Macaca mulatta: one gene and its partners. Each later gene encodes a partner of the first gene's protein in a complex. Links are inferred from orthologs where the notes say so. Each region holds a gene or a part of one and is shown in the gene's direction. Other genes may lie near its edges.

The links.
Region 2: the proteins of RHO (region 1) and SAG are in contact, whole or in part, in a crystal structure (PDB 4PXF), measured with the Bos taurus proteins. The link is inferred for Macaca mulatta from reciprocal best matches to the Homo sapiens genes RHO and SAG. Residues at the interface, in NP_001014890.1 of Bos taurus: Arg135, Val138, Val139, Lys141, Leu226, Glu249, Val250, Met253, Met309, Asn310, Lys311, Gln312; in XP_010802144.1 of Bos taurus: Asp71, Ile72, Met75, Gly76, Leu77.
Region 3: the proteins of RHO (region 1) and GNAT3 are in contact, whole or in part, in a crystal structure (PDB 4A4M), measured with the Bos taurus proteins. The link is inferred for Macaca mulatta from reciprocal best matches to the Homo sapiens genes RHO and GNAT3. Residues at the interface, in NP_001014890.1 of Bos taurus: Leu72, Arg135, Val138, Val139, Lys141, Thr229, Val230, Ala233, Thr242, Thr243, Lys245, Ala246, Glu249, Val250, Asn310, Lys311, Gln312; in NP_001103452.1 of Bos taurus: Ile344, Asn347, Leu348, Lys349, Asp350, Cys351, Gly352, Leu353, Phe354.
Region 4: the proteins of RHO (region 1) and GNAT1 are in contact, whole or in part, in a cryo-EM structure (PDB 6OYA), measured with the Bos taurus proteins. The link is inferred for Macaca mulatta from reciprocal best matches to the Homo sapiens genes RHO and GNAT1. Residues at the interface, in NP_001014890.1 of Bos taurus: Leu72, Arg135, Val138, Val139, Lys141, Ser144, Asn145, Phe146, Arg147, Val230, Ala233, Gln236, Gln237, Ser240, Thr242, Thr243, Lys245, Ala246, Glu249, Val250, Met253, Met257, Asn310, Lys311, Gln312; in NP_851365.1 of Bos taurus: Ala27, Arg28, Asp189, Leu190, Val312, Glu314, Tyr316, Asp333, Ala334, Asp337, Ile340, Lys341, Asn343, Leu344, Lys345, Asp346, Cys347, Gly348, Leu349, Phe350.

The regions. Positions count from the first base shown.
Region 1 is NC_133407.1:154,400,548-154,404,590, reverse strand, and holds the start of RHO (rhodopsin), read left to right. Parts: upstream 1-1,209; 5' UTR 1,210-1,304; coding exon 1,305-1,665; intron 1,666-3,389; coding exon 3,390-3,558; intron 3,559-4,043. UniProt on the Homo sapiens protein: Photoreceptor required for image-forming vision at low light intensity. Required for photoreceptor cell viability after birth.
Region 2 is NC_133417.1:138,593,643-138,597,204, forward strand, and holds part of SAG (S-arrestin), read left to right. Parts: intron 1-435; coding exon 436-496; intron 497-3,071; coding exon 3,072-3,116; intron 3,117-3,562. UniProt on the Homo sapiens protein: Binds to photoactivated, phosphorylated RHO and terminates RHO signaling via G-proteins by competing with G-proteins for the same binding site on RHO. May play a role in preventing light-dependent degeneration of retinal photoreceptor cells.
Region 3 is NC_133408.1:138,990,509-138,994,070, forward strand, and holds part of GNAT3 (guanine nucleotide-binding protein G(t) subunit alpha-3), read left to right. Parts: intron 1-1,451; coding exon 1,452-1,593; intron 1,594-2,324; exon of another isoform or gene 2,325-2,424; intron 2,425-3,562. UniProt on the Homo sapiens protein: Guanine nucleotide-binding protein (G protein) alpha subunit playing a prominent role in bitter and sweet taste transduction as well as in umami (monosodium glutamate, monopotassium glutamate, and inosine monophosphate) taste transduction.
Region 4 is NC_133407.1:113,664,112-113,668,126, forward strand, and holds the start of GNAT1 (guanine nucleotide-binding protein G(t) subunit alpha-1), read left to right. Parts: upstream 1-1,183; coding exon 1,184-1,289; intron 1,290-2,272; exon of another isoform or gene 2,273-2,444; intron 2,445-2,616; coding exon 2,617-2,659; intron 2,660-2,748; coding exon 2,749-2,890; intron 2,891-2,989; coding exon 2,990-3,147; intron 3,148-3,229; coding exon 3,230-3,358; intron 3,359-3,568; coding exon 3,569-3,698; intron 3,699-3,975; coding exon 3,976-4,015. UniProt on the Homo sapiens protein: Functions as a signal transducer for the rod photoreceptor RHO. Required for normal RHO-mediated light perception by the retina.

The DNA.
Region 1 (4,043 bases):
TGACTACTTTCTTTCTCACAGTACATCCTGCTGTTCTGGAATCGGCCGTCATGGGGCCACCTGGCACATGGCATTTGAGGCCCTCGTAGCTGACCAGACCTCCCCCAACAGTGCCCTGTCTGCTGCCTCCAGGGCTGGCCTCCCTTTCAGACTGGAGTCCCCTGAGGGGCTCTGTCCCTCCCCTGCTCTGGAAGCCCCCTCCATCCTCCCTCCCTCCACTCCATCTTTGGGGCATCCGAGTCACCTTTCTACCCCAGTGATCTGCCCAAGCCACTGCCCACTTCCCTCTGGATAAAGCCAGGCTCCCTGGCGTTCAAGACCCATCACAACTGCCCCCAGCTCAGTCTTCCCCACCCAGCCACCTGGCAAACTGCTCCTTCTCTCAAAGGCCCAAACGTGGCCTCCTGGACTGCATCCCCCAGGCAGTCAGGCCCCGTCTCCACCTCACAGACACCTTGGGCGGAATCTGCTTCTTCTCATATCTGAGTCCTCCTCAGCCCCTGAGCTCCTCTGGGCAGGGCTGTTTCTTTCCATCTTTGTATTCCCAGGGGCCCACAAATAAATGTTTAATGAACGAACAAGAGAGTGAATTCCAATTCCATGCAACAATGATTGGGCTCCTGGTCCCCAGGCCATGTGTCCGGCACTGGAAATAGAAGCTGCAGGATGCAGCCCCTGCCCTCATGGAGCTCCTCCTGTCAGAGGAGTGTGGGGACTGGACGAGCCCAGAAGTAACTTGCGGGGGAATGAACAGCTTTGTAAGGGGCTGGGGGAACGAACAGGTAAGGGGCTGTGTGACGAGATGAGAGACTGGGAGAATAAACTAGAAAGTCTCTAGCTGTCCAGAAGCTCACTGTCCAGTCCAGACGAAGATCTGAAGTCAGCTCGTACTAAGCCAAGGGAAATGGCACAGACACCCACGGTCCCTATTTCAGACCAAGGCCACCAGACTGAGCTGGGACCTTGGGACAGACAAGCCATGTAGAAGTTAGGGGCCTTCTCCCTTTCCCAGGGTCCTGAGTACCTCTCCTCCCTGACCTCAGGCTTCCTCCTGGTGTCACCTTGGCCCCTCTTGGAAGCCAATTAGGCCCTCAGTTTCTGCAGCGGGATTAATATGATTATGAACACCCCCAATCTCCCAGATGCTGATTCAGCCAGGAGCTTAGGAGGGGGAGGTCACTTTATAAGGGTCTGGGGGGGTGAGAGCCCAGAGTCATCCAGCCAGAGCCCTGAGTGGCTGAGCTCAGGCCTTCGCAGCATTCTTGGGTGGGAGCAGACGCGGGGCAGCCACAAGGGCCACAGCCATGAATGGCACGGAAGGCCCTAACTTCTACGTGCCCTTCTCCAACGCGACGGGCGTGGTGCGCAGCCCCTTCGAGTACCCGCAGTACTACCTGGCCGAGCCATGGCAGTTCTCCATGCTGGCCGCCTACATGTTCCTGCTGATCGTGCTGGGCTTCCCCATCAACTTCCTCACGCTCTACGTCACTGTCCAGCACAAGAAGCTGCGCACACCTCTCAACTACATCCTGCTCAACCTAGCCGTGGCCGACCTCTTCATGGTCTTCGGTGGCTTCACCACCACCCTCTACACCTCTCTGCATGGATACTTCGTCTTCGGGCCCACAGGATGCAATGCGGAGGGCTTCTTTGCCACCCTGGGAGGTATGAGCCGGGTGCGGGTGGGGCTTGCAGGAGCCCGGGAGCATGGAGGGATCTGGGACAGTCCCGGGCTTGGCGGTAGTGGCTGAGAGGCCTTCTCCCTTCTCCTCTCCTGTCAGCGTTACCCAAGGCCCTCATATATTCATCAACAAACACCATTCATGGTGATAGCTGGGCTGCTGTTTGTGCAGGGCTGGCTCTGAACGCTACCTTGATCTTACCTGGAGCAACATGCACTTATCTAATTTCACAGCCAGAAAACTGAGCTGAGGCTCAAAGAAGTCAAGTGCCCTGCTGGGGGTCACAATGGGATGGGGGCAGAGTTGAGTTTGAAGCCTGCATCCATCTTGGGCCGTGTTGGCAACACCAAGCCTCTGTTTCCCTCGGAAAACAGGTCAGACCCAGGCTGGGCACTGAGGAGAGAGCTGGGCAAGCCAGACCCCTCCTCTCTGGGGGCCCAAGCCCAGGGTAGGAAGTGGATTCTCCATTCTCCAGTCATTGAGTCTTCCCTGTGCTGGGTAATGGGCTCGGTCCCCTTTGGCATCCTCTGCCTCCCCTCCCAGCCCCCCGTCCCCGGGTGCCCCTCTAGCCTCCATGCCGCGCTCCAAGGCTCCTGGTGTTGAGAACTGCATGCAGCCCCTCTGAAGCAGCTGCTTTTTGCTTTAGAATAATGTCTTGCATTTAACAGGAAAACAGATGGGGGTGCTGCAGGGATAACAGATCCCACTTAACAGAGGGGAAAACTGAGGCAGGGAGAAGGGAATAGACTTATTTAGGGATGTGGCCAGGCAGCAACAACAGCCTAGGTCTCCTGGCTGTGATCCAGGAATATCTCCGCTGAGATGGAGGAGATGTTAGCGGCAGCCACTGCAAAGCTGGGTGACGAGGAGAGCTTACCACCAGTCACAAGCATCACCCTGCCAGCCTTGCCCTCTCTCCCCCATGTCCAGGTTGCCTCCTCGGTCCCATTCTCAGGGAATCTCTGGCATTGTTGGGTATTTGTTACATCAAATAATCACAGATCACCCAGTTCTGGCCAGAAGGTGGTGTGCCACATACGGATGGTTGTTCTCTGCAGGGTCAGTCCCAGTTTACAATTATTGTCCCTTTCACTGTTAGGAATGTCCCAGTTTGGCTGATTAACTATATGGCCACTCTCCCTGTGGAACTTCATGGGGTGGTGAGCAGGGCAGATGTCTCAATTTCATCATTTCCTTCTTCTTCCTCTGGGCAAAGCATTGCCCATTGCTTCATGGCTCCTAGGAGAGGGCCACACTTGCCCATGTTGTTTCATCTCCCGAGAAGAGAGAGGGATGAAGGACTGCCAATTCTGGGTTTCCGCCACCTCTGCATTCCTGCCCAACAAAGAACTCTGCCCCACATTAGGATGCATTCTTCTGTTAAAAACAAAAAACCCCACAACTCCCTACCGGGTTCTCAGTCCAATCGTGACCCCCTGATCTGATTCGTGTCCCTCATGGACCCAGAGCACTAAGCAAATAACTTCCCCCATTCCCTGGAGCTTCTTTGCCCAGCCCTCCTCAGCATGTGGTCCCTCTGCCCCTTCCCACTCCTCCCAGTGCCAAGCTCTCTTCTTCCCCAAGGCCTCCTCAAGTCCCTCTCCCACTCCTGGTTGCCTTCCTAGCTACCCTCTTCCTATCTAGGGGGAGTGCACCCTCCTTAGACAGGCAGTGGGGTCTGCTGACAGCCTGCTGACTGCCTTGCAGGTGAAATCGCCCTGTGGTCCTTGGTGGTCCTGGCCATCGAACGGTACGTGGTGGTGTGTAAGCCCATGAGCAACTTCCGCTTCGGGGAGAACCATGCCATCATGGGCGTTGCCTTCACCTGGGTCATGGCGCTGGCCTGCGCCGCACCCCCCCTCTTCGGCTGGTCCAGGTAATGGCGTTGAGCAGAAGGGAAGAGGCTCTTTGTAGGGTCCTCCAGTCAGGACTCAAACCCAGTAGTGTCTGGTTCCAGGCACTGGCCTTGTATGTCTCCTGGCCCAAATGCCCACCCAGGGTAGGGGTGTAGGGCAGAAGAAATAGACTCTAATGTTGCTAAAAGCGCTGGTCCCATCTCCTGAGCTCTATGTAAAAGAGAATCCAAGACATCCCAACCCTTCACCTTGGCTGTGCCCCTAATCCTCAACTAAGCCAGGCGCAAATTCCAATCCTCTTTGGTCTAGTACCCTGGGGGCAGCCCCCTCTAACCTTGGGCCTCAGCAGCAGGGGAGGCCACACCTTCCTAGTGCTGGTGGCCATATTGTGGCCCTTGGGAACTGGGTCCCATTCAGCCTCTAGGCGATTGTCTCCAAATGGGGCTGAGATGAGACACAGTGGGGACAGTGGTTTGGACAATAGGACCGGTGACTCTGGTCCCCT
Region 2 (3,562 bases), on another chromosome or scaffold:
AAATAAAAGATGTAATATGCAAATGAATGGCAAACATCTCATTTGCATATTTTTCTTTTTTTTTTTTCTTTTTTGAGACTGAGTCTCACTCTGTTGCCCAGGCTGGAGTGCAGTGACATGCTGTTGGCTCACTGCAACCTCTGCCTCCCGAGTTCAAGCGATTCTCCTGCCTCAGCCTCCTGAGTAGCTGGGACTACAGGCGCATGCCACCATGCCCAGCTAATTTTTGTATTTTTTTTTTTTTTTTAGTAGAGACAGGGTTTCACCGTATTGGCCAGGTTCAAACTCCTGACCTCGTGATCCGCCCGCCTTGGCCTCCCAAAGTGCTGAGATTACAGGCGTGAGCCACCGCACCCGGGCTGCAGCTGGTTTTTATCATGGATGCCTTAGCTTAGCATTCTTTGGCCATTAGACCCACACCCACTTGTCTTGCAGGTGACCATCTACCTGGGGAAGAGAGACTACATAGACCATGTCAGCCAAGTCCAGCCTGTGGGTAAGTTGCTTGGAGAAAATTGTAATGCTGGTTTTCCTTTAAGTCACAGATAACTGCTCACTTTGTACTTTCAAAAATCAGCCTTGCTAATAATCTAATTAAAGAAATGCAAATTAAAACATCAGTGAGTTTCCACTGGCTGAGTGGGAACAATTTTATTTACATTTATTTTTATTTTTTTGAGATGGAGTTTCGTTCTTGTTGGCCAGGCTGGAGTGCAGTGGCACGATCTCAGCTCACTGCAACCTCTGCCTCCCAGGTTCAAGTGATTCGCCTGCCTCAGCCTCCCAAGTAGCTGGGATTACAGGCATGCATCACCACGCCCAGCTAATTTTGTATTTTTAATAGAGATGGGGTTTCACCATGTTGGTCAGGCTGGTCTCAAACTCCTGACCTCAGTTAATCCACCCGCCTCGGCCTCCCAAAGTGCTGGGATTACAGGCTTGAACCACCTGTGTCCGGCTGGAAAGAATTTTAAAGAGTGTGAAGAGACAAAGGACTCATGTCTGGAATGTATGAAGAACGCTCAGAACTCAGCAGTACAAAAAGCAAGATCCTATGAGAAAACGGGGGAAAGACAGTAAGAGACATTTCATCAAAGAAGATACACGAAGACAAGCAAGCACGTGAAAACATCTTTGGTATCATTAGCCATCGGGGAAATACAGATTAAAGCTACAGTGAGAGTGTATTATATGCCTCCCAAAATGGCTAAAATATTTTAGGTTACTGCAAAAGTAATTGCAGTTTTTTGCCATTACTTTCAATGTAGTGGCGAGATCTTGGCTCACTGCAACCTCCACCTCCCGGGCTCAAGCGATCCTCTGTCCTCAGCCTCCCAAGTAGCTGAGACTACAGGCATGTGCCACCATGCCCCGCTAATTTTTTGTCGAGATAGGGTTTTGCCATGTTACCCAGGCTGGTCTCAAACTCCTGAGCTCAAGTGATCTGCCTGCCTCAGCCTCCCAAAGTGCTGAGATTACAGGTGCGAGCCACTGCGCCCAGCAGCAGTTTCTTAAAACACGAAACATGTACTTACCATATGATCCAACAGTTGCATCCCGGGCACTTATCTCAGAGAAATGAAAACCTGTGTCCTCACAAAAACCTATACATGATTGTTCGCAGCAGTTTTATTTGTGGTAACTCCAAACCGGAAAGAACCAAAATGTTTCTCAGAACGTCCCACGTCAGCTTCCTAGTTTTGATATTGTACTGTAATTATGGCAGATGGAACCATTGGGAGAAACTGGATGAAGGATACGAGGGACGTCTCTGTACTATCTTTGCAACTTCCTGTGAATCTATAATCATTTCAACACAAAACGTTTTTTAAAGAGTGTAGAAAAACTGGCAGTTTCAGACACTGGATATGAAAATGTGCCTTGGCAAAACACTTTCTGGAAGGTTATTTGACAGCATGTTATCAAAAGCCAAATCCAATTCTATAATTTATTTTTAAAAAGTCATGGAGAGATATAAAGATGTATGTATAAGGATGTTCATCACAATATTAATCACAATGGGAAAAACTGGAAAAAACCTAGATGCCCTAACAATAGAAAGTGATTAAATAATTATGGTACATCCATTCAATGGAGTAATATGTAGCTATTAAAATGCTTAGCACACGTTTTGTCTATATGTGTGTGTATATATATACGTGTGTGTATAGATGTATGTATGTTTGAATAGATGTTTTCAATGTATAATTGAGTGAGGAAAACAGTTAGCTGAACAGTAAGTACAATAGGATCTTTTTTTTCTTAGTAAAAGCATTCATATAATTAAGTTATATATGTCTGGAAAAATTTTTTTGGGCGGGGGTGCGGGGCAGTGTCTCACTGTCACCCAGGCTGGAGTGCAGTAGCATGGTCACAGCTCACTGCAGCCTCAACCTCCCAGGTTCAAGAAATCCCCCTACCTCCGCCTCTCACGTAGCTGGGACCACAAGCAGGCACCACCATGCCTGGCCCATGCCCTGCTAACTTTTTTTCTTTTTTCTTTTTTATATGTTTTGAGAAAAGATCTGGTTCTATTACCCAGGCTGGAGTCCAGTGGCATGATCATGGCTCACTGCAGACTTGACATCCCAGACTCGAGGGATCCTCCTGCCTCAGCCTCCTGAGTAGTTGGGACTACAGGCATGCACCACCACACCCAGCTAACTTTTTAAATTTTATGTAAAGACAGGCTCTCATTTTGTTACCCAGGCTGCTGCTAATTTTTTAAAAAGCTTTTTGTAGAGACAACGATCTCACTGTGTTGCTCAGGCTGCCCTCAAACTCCTAGGCTCGAGCAGTCCCCCTGCCTCGGCCTCCCAAAGTGCTGGGATTACAGGCATGAGCCACCACACCTGGCCTGGAAAAATAAAATAAAAGTCTGCACCGAGAGCTTCACAATAGGTATTTTTAGGTAGTAGGAATTTGGATGACTTTTTGCCCTTAACTTTTCTTTCTTTCTTATAATGAACATGGATTACATGTGCAATTAAAAACATACATAGTTTTTAAAGTAGGTGTCTGGTTTCTTTGATCTTCTTCACCCTCACTGCTCTCTCCCTCTTTTGCCTTAGATGGTGTCGTGTTGGTTGATCCTGACCTCGTGAAGGGAAAGAAAGGTGAGATGAAGCCCCTTGTCTCAGGCTGGTTTCTGGGTGGAGTGGGCTGCTCTCTGGGCGGCTCTGGGAAGGGGCATTTACGTGGAAGGAGAGACAGGAAGGCAGAGGCAGTGCTCTTGCACATGGAACCAGTGCCAGGCCCGTTGACCCACACTCCCGTACTTAATTCACGTGACATAGGTCCCGTTGACACCAGAGCTCACTCGCTCAGCAAAGTCATTGTCCAGGGTGGCAGATAAGTAGATGGTAGATGGAGCCCAGGTCTGTGGCCCCCATCGGTGTGTGCTAACCCCTGTATCGTGTACTTCTGTGCTAGGGGCAAACTCAGGAGGGCGCCTGGGCTGCCTCGGACTCAGGAGGACACCAGACCTTGAATGAATGAGGGCAGAGTGAGTGGACAGTGTTTCTTCCGAGTCAGTGGCGAGGGGCAGTTACTGTTGGGGCTG
Region 3 (3,562 bases), on another chromosome or scaffold:
TGAAAGCTTATGAATTTCAACAGACCTAGGAACCAACTCTGCAGTTGGAGTGCTCTGTCTCACAGAAATTGATATATGCAGCTCCTAGAAAAATGATGTTGTTTAAAGTCCCACTTCAACTGGACATTTTAACATCTGTTTTTATAATTTTTCTTTGTGATAAATGTTTCTTCACTTCTGATAGCAGTCAGAACTTGTTTCATGAAGAACACCTAAGTACCCCACGTTTATTCACAGTTGCCATTTTAATAATTAAAATAATTTTCCAAGTTCGATTTGACAGAAAACTGGGATTTCTTTAGTAAACTTATTCTTGATCTACCCATAAAGACATTTTACTGCATTTTTTCTACAGTCTTTGTCTACTTTATTTACTTAAGTTATTTAATGATTCAATGCAGCAAGATAGACATGACCATGTTTAACATAGAAGTTCAGCAATGATTTGTAATCAAATAAAAAAAACAACAAATAACAAATATAGGCCCTGCTTTTACTTCTTTCAGTTGAGATTTCTTGTATATGAAGGTTCTAATATCTTCAAAGACATTAAAGAGGCATTTGTGCTCTTTTCCCCTCTATGCTAAAGCCTTTATACGTGTAGACACAATATAAATATTTAGTAATATGACATCCAAAAAGACGCCTAACGAATACAAAGCACTTCAAGACAATTAAAACATTATAGAAAGGAACAAAAACAATTCTACAATAAAGATGCAAAAATACGTAACTGGCACATGTAATGACTTTAGCTTTTGATAGGTAAATCTATTTTAAGCTATTATTCCAAAACTTCTAGTAAAATCTTGAGTTTGGCTGAATGAGTGGAAGGTAGAGAAGAGTTCAGCCAAATAAAATGTCAGGCATTTCAACTTTTATAACTCAGTGGCACGTACACAGATGGAGAACTGACAAGAGATTTAACACAGGGCAATTACCTGTACTAAAAAAGATGCCTTTGTTGATGCTGTAAATAGAAAGAAGGCACTCCTATTTTCCAGCATGATAGGAAAAGTCATGAATGTTCTAAATGACTTAACTTCCTCTAGACATCAGGTTGTGGACACAAGGCCAAGTTTCAAAACTGTGAATATATCTTTGTCCTGAGAATCTATAATTTTTTTTTCTTAAAAACAAAAACAAAAACAAAAAACAGGCTTTCTAAGTATAATGCTTATGATTTACTCGTTTCAGAAAAGTATGTTAAAATAACAAATCCTAAGTCCTTTTGTATTTATCATGGTAGCCCAGAAAGAAAATATTGTATGAATGACAATGATAATGAAAGTCCAAAGGCATAAAATTGTTTAGATTTAGCATATACATATGGTCAAAATTCCTTTTTAATGAAAATATACTATAATTGTATTCAAGTAACTTATTTTGATGTGCTTTAGTGTTACAATCAATTATTCAACTCACAGAAACTTTTCATGTTTAAATTATAGGATCATCCATAAGAATGGTTACAGTGAGCAAGAATGCATGGAGTTCAAAGCAGTAATTTACAGTAATACATTGCAATCCATCCTAGCTATTGTGAAAGCCATGACTACCCTTGGAATTGATTATGTAAATCCCAGAAGTGCAGTAAGTATGCAAATAATGACAGCTGTATGTCCTGCAATAGAGTTTGAGCCACAAAATAAGAGGACTTAATAAGTTCAATCTATACCCAAAATTTAAAAATATGAAACATGAATTTTGAAACATGAATTATGTTTTGTGTAAGATTTCTTATTTTCCTTGAAGTGAAACTTTTTTACTGTATACTGTTATTCAACATTAGTTGTTTTCTTGAGGATTAAACTTAATATCAAATAATACACCATAAGAAACAAAAATATTGTTTACGACTGCTAAATGCAAAAGTTTATGGCATAAACACAATTTGTAATATCTCTACATTAATTTTTTAGTTATGTCATTTCAAAGAGACTAACAATGTTTAATAATAACACAATAATTATAATTAATGTTTGATGATGATTACAAAGTCTGCATGGCAACAGGGAAATGATTATAATGCTAAGTTTTTTAAAAAAGAATTCAAATTGTAGGAGCAAGCAAATGGTTGTATATTAAGTATATTCAAGTAGTCATAGTTCTGTTTGTAAGGTAACAACAAAATTATTTTCTCCCTACTTTATATTTTGCTATATAGTTATTTTATATTAAAATATATTTGAAATCCACTTACTTTAAAAGTTTATAGGCAAATATATAAAAATATTTGGCAAATGAAACTTATAGTATTATCCAAAGAACCATAGTTGACCCCACCCAAAAAAGAGAAACTGAGTAGAATCCACAAGAAGAACTCACCTATTTCCATATGTCCCCTCCAGGAGCAGCTGGGCATCTGGTTACCTCCAGAGGATGCCAGTTGAATGCCTACCAATGTAATTCTTGGAAACCTTGCTATAGAAACAATAAAAATAGAGAACAAAAGCATAGTAAGGATAAAGAAAGAGGAGTCATTTGAACTCCCTCAACCAGCTTAGTGGACCTTGTAAATGGCCACTGGATCTTGTAAATGACCACTAGAAATCATTACAATTAAAACAAACAAACAAAGGCGGCTTTTCCATGCTCTTAATGTAAAGAAAGGGGAAATCCCCCTTTTTCTTGTCACTTTTCTTCAAAGAACAAAGAAATGCTAAGTATGGTCTTCAGGCAGATAGTTTATAAAGCGAGGAGTCAGATATTTTACTGATTCCCATTTCTAGTTTTCTCCACAGTTTGCTCCAATCTATCTCTCTGGCTACAGTTTCCCACTCATGTGTAAAAGGGGAACTTGATGTTCCCCTTCCCGAGTCCAAGTGATCTCATTGTTCAGTTCCCACCTATGATGGGTGCTGACGAGTTGATGGGTGCAGCACACCAACATGGCACAAGTATACATATGTAACAAACCTGCACGTTATGCACATGTACCCTAGAACTTAAAGTATAATAAAATAAATAAATAAATAAATAAGGGGAACTTGGAGGAGGTGAACTCCAAGATCCTTTTATTCTTTATCTCTCTACGACTTAGTGATCATGTTCTTATTTAAGTGTAGTTCAGTTATGGATCTGAACCTTGGCTTTTTCTAAGATACTAGGATTTTAAATTGACTCTTAAGAGACAACATAGTATAACCACCTTAATTTAAAAAACAAGGATCAAAGAAGATTAGTTGGTTTACATTAAGTAGCTAGAGTTCATGGCAAAACCCACTTCTCCTGGATTCCATTATAGTGCTTTTTGCTTTTAAGGGATTTAATGATTAGAAATATTTTATCTTTTTATCTTAGGCAATAATAGTCACTAAAATAGATGTACCTTCTTAATTCCTTTGAGAATGATTTAATGATGTTTAAATTTGTAGATGCAATATGGTATTCCATGCATTTGTGTCAGAGAAGTTGGAAATCACCTTGCCTATTGCTACTTATTTAATTATACTGTATCCTTCATATGACCCAGAGTTTGTGAAACAGTGATGCTCTGATCACTAAAGACCTGAGCTTTGACCTGGTGTGGTGGCTCACGCCTATAATCTCAACACTTTGA
Region 4 (4,015 bases), about 41 Mb from region 1:
GTAAACCCGGGAGGCGGAGCTTGCAGTGAGCTGAGATCCGGCCGCTGCACTCCAGCCTGGGTGACAGAGCGAGACTCCGTCTTAAAAAAAAAAAAAAAAAAAATGCTGGGCACGATGGCTCACGCCTGTAATCCCAGCACTTTGGGAGGCCACGGCGGGTGGATCATGAAGTCAGGAGATCGAGACCATCCTGGCTAACACGGTGAAACCCTGTCTTTACTAAAAATACAAAAAATTAGCCCGATGTGGTGGTGGGCGCCTGTTGTCCCAGCTACTTGGGAGGCTGAGCCAGGAGAATGGCGTGAACCCGGGAGGCAGAGCTTGCCGTGAGCCAATATCGTGCCACTGCACTCCAGCCTGAGCAACAGAGCTAGACTCCGTCCAAAAAAAAAAAAAAGACACATACACCAAGGCACACAGAGAAGATATGCATGCCCACCAGAGTCCGCTGGAAGCCGAGGACCTCTTTGGGGTAGCTCCAGCCTGTGATATGGGATTATGGGATGAATGCAATGCCCACTGTTTCCCTCTCTCTGGATTCCCTGCAGGTCATAAAATCCCAGTCCAGTGTCACCCAGCCCTTCTTAACCACTTCCTCCTGTGTGACGCTTTGAGCCTCTACTTCCTCATCAGTAAAATGAGGCTGATGACATGGGCATCTATCCTCCAGGGCCAGTGTGAGCTTACAACAAGATAAGGAGTGGTGCTGAGCCCGGTGCTGGGCAGGCAGCAGGCATGTTTCTCCCAATTATGCCCTCTCACTGCCAGCTCCACCTCCATCGTCCTCACCCCCAGGGCTCAAGGTTCTGCCTTCCCCTTTCTCAGCCCTGATCCTACCCACTCCCAGGCAGCACCAGGGCCTCTCCTGAAGGGTGGAGGGGGGCAGAAGGACAGCAGGAGTGCAGAGTCAGCGGTTGAGGGATTGGGGCTATGCCAGCCTGATTAGAAGGGTTGGGGGGGCTGAGCTGGATTCACCTGTCCTTGTCTCTGATTGGCTCTTGGACACCCCTAGCCCCCAAATCCCACTAAGTAGCCCCACTAGGGACTGCACAGGTCCGTAGAGAGCCAGTTGATTGCAGGTCCTCCTGGGGCCAGAAGGGTGCCTGGGAGGCCAGGTTCTGAGGATCCCCTCCATCCAGAAGAACCACCTGCTCACTCTGTCCCTTCACCTGCTGCTGGGACCATGGGGGCTGGGGCCAGTGCTGAGGAGAAGCACTCCAGGGAGCTGGAAAAGAAGCTGAAAGAGGATGCTGAGAAGGATGCTCGAACCGTGAAGTTGCTGCTTCTGGGTAGGGGTGTGGGCCCTGGTGGGGCCACTGCCACCAGATCATTGGTCTGGAGGCAGGCAGGCAGCCCTTCTGTGAAGCAAGGGTTCCCTGGGAAGCAATATGAGCCTGCAACAGAGTAGGGCACAGGGTGGGAGCCCTGGCCATGCAAGGCCAGGCCTGACAGGTGGTGTCCTATTCCCCCAAGGCTGGACATCCCATGAAGCCCCTCTCCAGACGGCTCTGCCTCAGGTGACCCACCCTCCAGAAGTGCGTGCCAACCACACTCTTGCACGAGTGTGTGAGGCTGACTTTTCTGTGGCTGGGCTCCCACAAGCGTCATGCAGCCTTTGGTTTGGTAGGCCTGCTGGGCAGTGCTCAGAAGCCAGGGGCCTCACTGGGAGCCCGTTATTGGGCTGCTACTTTGGGAAGGGGATGGTCATAGTCCTCCTGGGGGTGGGGAGTCTCTAGAACCACCCAGATCCACAAAGAATGGCCCTCAGGTGCCAGAGGGCTGTGGCTGGTAGACCTACAAAGCAGCCAACGGGTCTGGCAGGTGCTGAGGCCCAGTGGGAGTAGATAAAGCCGTGTCCACCAGACCGTGGGCAGTGAGAAGAGACGGGGCTGATCCAGGCCTGCCTCAAGGTCACTGTCTGACCTCTCAAGGGGAAAGAGCAGCTTCAAGAGGGCCGGGCAGGCTCCACCCAAGCTCCCCAGAGTCTGGTCAACCAGCTGGAGGTGGGTGAGGGACCAAGCCAGTCCCACTTTCCCCCAAGGCAGAGAGGCTAAGCCGGAAATCTCATTAACTGTGCCCAACGCCCTCGCAGGGGCAAGCTCAGAAAGGATGTCAACTCTGCCCTCCCTGCTACCCAAAGGCGCTAATTCCCTCTGAGCCTCTTGGAGACACCCGCATCCCTTCAGGTGAAAAGCAAGGGATTTACCCGCCTCAAATAACCCAGTGCATGCGGTGCCAGAGGCTCCCACGAGGTGGCGATGGCGCTTCGGGATTTCTTCATTGCAGTCTCACAGCATAATAAAGGCTGCCTGTGTCGGTGTCTTGGGGCCTCCCAGTCCCAGAACAGTTGAGGTCGTTGATTCCCCTCGTTGGCTTCCTTTCTTCACTTTCCTGACATTTGCAAACCTTGTGCCTTCAGGGTGTCAGGACTTACTTTGGACGGGGTGGGTAGGTGTGGCTACGGGGTGGGTAGGTGTGGCTACGGGGTGGGGGCTGACGCTCAGGCCTCTTCGCTGCCGGTCCACCCTGACAACTCGGGAGGGCCCGGTCCTCCCGGCCTCCTTGGGGGAGGGGGCAGGCGGTCAGCGCAGCTCTGAGGCGCCGCTTCCCTTTCAGGTGCGGGTGAGTCCGGGAAGAGCACCATCGTCAAGCAGATGAAGTGAGTGCCCCTGCCTGTCCCGAGGTCCCTGGGGCTGGGTCCTTCCCCACTTCCCCACGAGGCTCTGACCCTGCTCGCCTCGGCCTCAGGATTATCCACCAGGACGGGTATTCGCTGGAAGAGTGCCTCGAGTTCATCGCCATCATCTACGGCAACACGTTGCAGTCCATCCTGGCCATCGTGCGCGCCATGACCACACTCAACATCCAGTACGGAGACTCTGCACGCCAGGTGTGCCAGGAGGCGGGCTGAGCGGGCCTCTGGGGACTCGAGGCTCGTGGCTGGGCCCGAGTCCCTGGCCGCCACCAGCCACTCTCACCCTGCCCCCAGGACGACGCCCGGAAGCTGATGCACATGGCAGACACCATAGAGGAGGGCACGATGCCCAAGGAGATGTCGGACATCATCCAGCGGCTGTGGAAGGACTCCGGTATCCAGGCCTGTTTTGAGCGCGCCTCGGAGTACCAGCTCAACGACTCGGCGGGCTAGTGAGCGCGTGGGCAGCGCGGGGCGCGGGGCGCAGGGGGCCCTCCACGCCTCCCCACCCACCCACGGCCCGGTCTCGCGCAGCTACCTCTCCGACCTGGAGCGCCTGGTAACCCCGGGCTACGTGCCCACCGAGCAGGATGTGCTGCGCTCGCGAGTCAAGACCACTGGCATCATCGAGACGCAGTTCTCCTTCAAGGACCTCAACTTCCGGTACGACCCACATGCCAGCCCGGGAGGTCACTGCCCCAGGCCCCGTCCTGCCCCGGGGACCCCATCCCTGCGATAGACCCTGCCCCTTCCTGGATATCCCGCCAGCAGAAAGGGTAGTAGTCCCAGCAGAGAGCTCACCGACCAGCACAGGGCGAGGGGATGCTCCCTGTTAGGCCCAGGGCGCGGGTTCAGGCCCCCGCGGCCCCGCAGGATGTTCGATGTGGGCGGGCAGCGCTCGGAGCGCAAGAAGTGGATCCACTGCTTCGAGGGCGTGACCTGCATCATCTTCATCGCGGCGCTGAGCGCCTACGACATGGTGCTGGTGGAGGACGACGAAGTGGTGGGTGCCAGGCAGGGCCTGTGTTCCAGGGGCGAGGAGGAGTTGCTGGCCCCTGGAGGCGGAGACGGCTCGCTGGGCGTGGGGAGGGCCCGGGAGGGGATGCTGGTCCCGGGCAGCCTGAGGAGGCCGGTAGGCGTTCAGCAGGCCCATCTGGGGCAGTGCGGGGCGCCCTCTGAGAGCCAGCTTAACAGGAAGCCCCACGTGCCCGGGAGCCCAGAGAGCAGGGGCTGCGGGTCGGACGCGACCCCCGGTGCCCAACAGCTGCTGCCCTCCTCAGAACCGCATGCACGAGAGCCTGCACCTGTTCAACAGTATCT